Linked DNA regions of Mus musculus: region 2 is reported to be linked to region 1. Evidence: microRNA targets listed by miRTarBase, many of them from high-throughput screens and not tested one by one. Region 1 holds a microRNA gene; the other region holds the end of a gene's coding sequence.

Region 1 (3,167 bases):
TTCAGTATGGGGCAAGTGAGTGCTCTCATTCTCTAGGTGAAAATGCTTACTATAGTTAGGAGTATCAGAAGTTCAAATTTATGCTTATCTTCAGCATGATTTAGAGATAAGCCTGTGATTCATGTGATGCCTTAAGTGTACATGCAGGTTTGTATAGTTGTGTGTGTATGTTCATGTGTCTATATGGATATACATAACATATACATAGACATATAAACCCTAGCGTGCACACACACACACACACACACACACACACACACACACACACACACACGAATAACATTCATAGATCCATTTATATGATATGCCACCTAGAATATTAGAAATTATTCAGTACTGGGCCAGTGAGTGCTGTCATTTTCTAGGTAAAAATGCTTGCTAGAATCAGGAGTATCAGGAGTTCAAATTCATGCTTATCTTCAGGAGGATATAGATATCTGCCTGTGATTCATGTGATTGCCACCCATGTATGTGCATGGGTGTATAGTTTTGTGTACATGTGCATGTGTGTATATGAATAGACATAACATGCACATACATATAAACACAAGCACACACACACACAGAGACACAGGAATGACACTCATCGATCCATCTGAATGATAGGTGACTTAGAGTTTTAGAGATTATGCAGTAGTGGGACAGTGAATGGTCTCAATCACCAGGTGTAAACCACAGAGTCAGGAGGATCAGGAGTTCAAATCCATGCTTAATTTCAGTTGGAGATCATCCTGGTATTTCTGTGATGCTACCCATGTATGTGCATGTGTGCTTACTTGTATGTGCATGTGCATGTGTTGATATGAATATACATAACATAAACACACGTGTATATGCAGGCACACACACACAGAAGAAATTGCATTCGTCGTTACGTTTGAATGATATATGACTTAGAGCTTTAAGAGTATGTATTACTGGGCCAATGAAACGTCTTACTTACCAGTAAAAATGTTTGTTATATTCAGATGGATCAGGGGTCCAAATTCATGAGTAATTTCAAAATGACATAGAGATCAGCCTGACTTCACGGGGTTCCCCCCAATGTATGTTTATGTGTGTATAGTTTATGTGCATGTGCATGTGTGCATATGCATATACATATACATCCATACAAACATATAGAAGTAGCACAGATACACAGACACACACACACACACCCATCAATCATTTTGAATGACAGGTGACTTAGAGTTTTAGAAATTATGCTGTGCTGGGCCAGTGAGTGCTCTTAGTCAAAAGGTAAAAATGCTTGCCAGAGTCAGGAGGATGAGCAGTCAAAATTCATTCTCAACTTCATGATGAGTCTGGGATCAACTTCGGATTCATGTGATGCCCCCAATCTATTTGCTTGTGTGTATATGTATGTGTGCATGAACATGTGTATATGAATATACATATACATACACACATACCCATACAAACATGCATACAAACACACAGAAAATGGATACTCATTGTTCTATTGAATGATATGTGTCTTAGAGTCTTAGAGATTCTGTATGACTGGGCCAGGGAGAGGTCACACTCACCATGTGACGCCCCTTGCCAGAGTCAGGGTGATCAGGAGTGCAAATTCATGTTAACTGCGTGATGAGGTAGAGATCAGCCTGTCATTCATGTGATGGCCCCTGTGTATGTGCATGTGTGTTTGTGTGTGCGTACATGTACATGTGTGTATATGAATATACATATACATACACGCACACATAGATACGCACGCACACACACACACAGGGATGGCACTCATCAATCCATTTGAATGATAAGTGACTTAGAGTGAAAATGCTTACTAGAGTTAAGAGTATCAGGAGTTCAAATTCATACTTATCCTCATGAGAATTTAGAGATCAGCCTGTGATTTATGTGATTCCTCCATGTATGTGCATGTGTGTATAGTTGTGTGTGCATGTTCATGTCTATATTTGAATATACATAACATACACACACACGTATAAACGCAAGCACACATACACAGATACAGGAATGGCATTCGCCAATCCCTTTGAATGATAAGTCATGTAGAGTTTTAGAGATTATGCAATAGGGGACATTGAATGGTCTCACCCACCAGGTGTAAAAGATTGACAAAGTCAGGAGGATAAAGATTTCAAATTCATGCTTAATTCAGTTAGAGATCATCCTGGTATTCATGTGATGCCACCCATGTATGTGCATGTGTGTTTACTTGTATGTGCATGTGCATGTGTTGACATGAATATACATAACATAAACACATGTGTATATGCAAGCACACACACACACACACAGAGAAAAAATTGCATTCATTTATATGTTTGAAAGATATGTGACTTAGAGCTTTAGCAATTATGTAGTACTTGGCCAATGAAACTTCTTACTTACCAGTAAAATGTTTTTCATATTCAGATGGATCAGGAGTTCAAATTCATGAGTAACTTCAAAATGGTGTACAGATCAGCCTGGCTTCATGGGATCCTCCCCAATGTATGTGCATGTGTGTATAGTTTTGTGTGCATGTGCATGTGTGTATATGAATAGACATATACATCCACACAAACATATACAAGCAAGCACAGATACACACACAGGAATGGCACTCATCGATCCATTTGAATGATAGGTGACTTAGAGTTTTAGAGACTGCAGTAGTGGGACAGTGAATGGTCTCAGTCACCAGCTGTAAATGATTGACAAAGTCTGGAGAATCAGGATTTCAAATTCATGATTAACTTCAGTTAGAGATTATCCTGGTATTCCTGTGATGCCACCCATGTATGTGCATGTGTGTTTACATGTGTGTGCGTGTACATCTGTGTAAATGAATATATATATATATATATATATATACATATATATATATATATATATATATATATATATATATATATAACATAAACATACATGTATATGGACACACGTATGCACACATACACACAAGGAATGGAATTCATTGATATGTTTGAATGATATGTGATTTTGAGCTTTAAAGGTTATGTAGTACTGGTCAAATGAAAGTTTTTCTCACTATGTAAAAGCTTGCCATATTCAGAGGGGTCAGGAATTCATATTCATAAATAAATTCAAAAGAGAGTAGAGATCAGCCTGATTTTATGGGGTTCCCCACAATATATTTGCATGTGTGTATAGTTTTGTGTGCATGTGCATGTGTGTATATGAATATACAT
Region 2 (3,000 bases), not on the chromosome of region 1:
TAAATGCTCTGGGTCTTAGTGTACTTAAAGGGTTTTTCTTTTTTTCTATTAGATGTACCAAAGCTGCAGCCTCATCCAGGATTGGAAAAGAAAGAAGAGGAGGAGGAGGAGGAGGAATATGATGAGGGGTCTAATCTCAAAAGACAGACCAACAAGAACAGGGTGCAGTCAGGCCCCCGCACGCCTAACCCCTATGCCTCGGACAACAGCAGCCTCATGTTCCCTATCCTGGTGGCCTTCGGAGTGTTCATTCCAACCCTCTTCTGCCTCTGCCGCTTGTGAGAGGACAAATGGCCATCCTCAGCAGGGTGGAGGGAGTGTGCGAGAAACCAGACACTTTGGTTTCTGTAATCTTCACAGTGTTTAGGAAAAGAGAAAACAAATCAAACAGCGCACACACACACACACACACACACACACACACACACACACACAAACACAGACACACATGTGCTCACACACACACGGAAAGAGATAAGAAAAGCAGAGAGAGTGGGGTCACCCCACCAACACAGGTTGCAGAGTGCTCAGTCCTGCTCTGCCTAGCTGGCCCCACCCCAGCTCTCTTTCTCTGGGGTACTTAGGGAGAGGATCCTTCCTCTCCGAGGATCCTCATTATATACCTAGTAGGAAGGACTCTGAACTCAGAGCAGTCACACTTCCTTGGTTTTTTTAGGTTAGACATTAACAAACAGCAGGAAAATGTCACATAACCTGGAAAGACCGCACTGGAGTTGGGTGTGTTCTGAGTTTCTGTCCAGATGTGATTTCAGCAGTCATGGTATTCCAAGTGTGTGTGTGGAGGTAGATAAGTGGGACGGTAAAGACAAAGGCGTGGAAGAGAAAGTCAGCGCTTCCTTCCTGGGAAGCCTGTCGTCTGGGTTAATCTGTTGATGTATCTTCATTGTCATCTCTCATCCTGATGTGTGCCAGTTAGAGGACTGTCTGGTATCCAAGACGACTAGTGTATGTCAGGTCCTCAAATCACCAACAGCTTGTTACTACAACAAATTGTTTTGATTTTAGTGCCTGTTGAGGACTTGATTTCTTCTTGATTTTTCTCTTAATCTGGTTCATTTGAAATTTCTCACTTCTTAACCATAGAGCTAAGTTATTGTCAAAACTGGGCAGGAGACAGGAGATTGGAGTGGTCTCTGCTGGGGTGTCTGACCCTCCACCACCTCACCTTGTTGGTACCTCCCTCCCTGAATTCCTGAGCCAGCAACTCTTACTGGCCCCTCCATAGGGTCTTGCTGCCAGGGACAGGGATGCTTTCCAGCCTGCAGCAACAGAACACTTGACCTTAAAAGTCTCTTCTGGTCTTTGGATTAGAAAAGGCTTATGTTAGCAACCTCAGAGACTTGAGCCCTGCTAAGTGACTGACCACTGTTTAGAATGTCCAGAATCTGATGTCCATCTGTCCCTGTGTCTTCTGTCCTCTTTCAGCTAGTTTAGGCTTATGCCTAGAGTCACCCCAAAGAACTGAGACTGGCTGCAGCAGCCCAGCTGTGTTTCTCATTGATGATAATAGTAGGCTCTACTGCCCTCCCCTCCCCTATCCAAGTAGCAGTTAAGTTCCATCCAAATACGTGGGACTCAAAGACTCCTAGTCAGCTGTAGTTCTGGAGGCTCTGAATGTCTAACTTTAGCATCAAAGTGTCTGTCTCAGATTCCCAGTAAACACCTCTGTAGGGGATGAAGTTTCCATGTCCCCCATCTTCCTTTTGGTCACCTTCATCTGTGTGTCAGTTAAGACACAGTGAGGGACAGCCCAGCTGCAATAAAAGGGATTTTCTATGTCAGAAGCAGCAGGCTTTGCTTCAGCTTGAGTTGGAGCCGTGTGAGTCTCAGGCCAGGCCCTTATTTCTGAATGTGTTTGAATTTTAAGTTTGCCTTATCAGATATCTGAGCTGTGCGACAAGTAAGTAGCTCTGGGGCCATGTCTTGACTGGCTCCTAATGGTGACTCCAGGCCAGCACTTGGTCATTTGAGAACTGTCTTCTGTGTTCTCTGTGACTTAGGCTAGCCCTAGGGTACTGAGGTGGCAGCTGCATGGCTGTGGCCTGAAGTTGCACTTGCAAAGGTCCTGCTTCTACAGGACGCTGAGGTACTTACTACCCTGGTCTCGGGAACTGCCTGCCTAGGGCAACAGATGTCCTGACTAATCTGGCTTCTGGTTCCCGGTCCATCCCTATTTACAAAGCTATGGGCCACTGTCAGCACATTAAACAAGGTGAGGGAGAGTAGCTGCCTCCGTGTCACCTTGTCTGCCTGGGTCTCTGAGGAAGGAGGGGTCCTGCTTTCTCACCCAGCTCACCCCTTTGGTGACTCAGAGTCCTTCTCAGAAGGAAACCCTGACTCCTGGGCCATTTCCTAATGGTACTGTAAGCCAAGTGGCTCGGCTTCTGCCTCTGTTTCCAAGCCCACCCCTTCCCGGAGGGATAGGGACGGGTGCTTTCCTCTCTAGTTGTATCTGAGCGGAAGGAACATCTTTCTGTAGCTAATAAAAACTAAAAGGGAAGAGGAAGCAGAAGGGAAGGAGTGTGGCGGAGGCTGGGATGGATTCCCTAAGCCAAGCCTGCCCAGCTAATGAGCTGTTTGACGTTGAACTTGAAAGCTTTCCCCTCCCTCTAAGATGATGTAGGTACTTGAGGTTTGGGTTAAAGGGGCTGGGTGGGGCACGCTTTATTTTTATTTTTGTATTGTGTATGTCAAGAATCACTCCATTGTTCGTGTTGCTTTTTGCACTGTTTGTTCCCCGCTGTGTTTTGAGCTAGAACAAGGAGTTGCCTGGGATTGGGAGCTGTGGGTGGTGCAAGTCAGGGAGTGGGCCAGGAGAGGCCCGGGTTTTCTGTTTGAGCTATACTCTGACCCAGGATGTTAGAGCACACTGATCCAGCCACTAGAGAGAAAGGTACAAGAGCAGAGCAGAGGAGCAAGCAAGGACAGCTGGGTTGAGTCTGCAGGTCCAGTGTGGTTTAGGTCAGTCAGGGGCCAGCT

The links. Region 1 holds the annotated microRNA mmu-miR-466n-5p (GUGUGUGCGUACAUGUACAUGU, at 1,654-1,675, shown strand). A microRNA usually pairs through its seed, bases 2 to 8, with sites in the 3' UTR of a target mRNA and lowers its output. Matches are read on the target gene's strand: a 7mer-m8 pairs with bases 2 to 8, a 7mer-A1 pairs with bases 2 to 7 and ends in A, and an 8mer does both.
Region 2: the mRNA of Mlec is a reported target of mmu-miR-466n-5p. Seed matches in the 3' UTR shown: 7mer-m8 at 393-399 and 7mer-A1 at 430-436.

Annotation. Positions count from the first base shown.
Region 1 is chr2:10,510,325-10,513,491 of GRCm38, forward strand. Mir466d (microRNA 466d) reads left to right here and starts at 1,643; the gene lies at 1,643-1,738. The region is part of intron 10 of Sfmbt2 (Scm-like with four mbt domains 2); the gene reads left to right. It overlaps Mir297b (microRNA 297b), which reads left to right and starts at 1,343; the gene lies at 1,343-1,451. It overlaps Mir669m-1 (microRNA 669m-1), which reads left to right and starts at 2,466; the gene lies at 2,466-2,563. It also overlaps Mir669m-2.
Region 2 is chr5:115,145,197-115,148,196 of GRCm38, reverse strand. Mlec (malectin) reads left to right here. Exons shown (of 5, transcript NM_175403.3): 5 at 53-3,000. The coding sequence ends at 282. Among named protein-coding and RNA genes, the nearest start is that of Mlec, 11 kb to the left of the region's middle.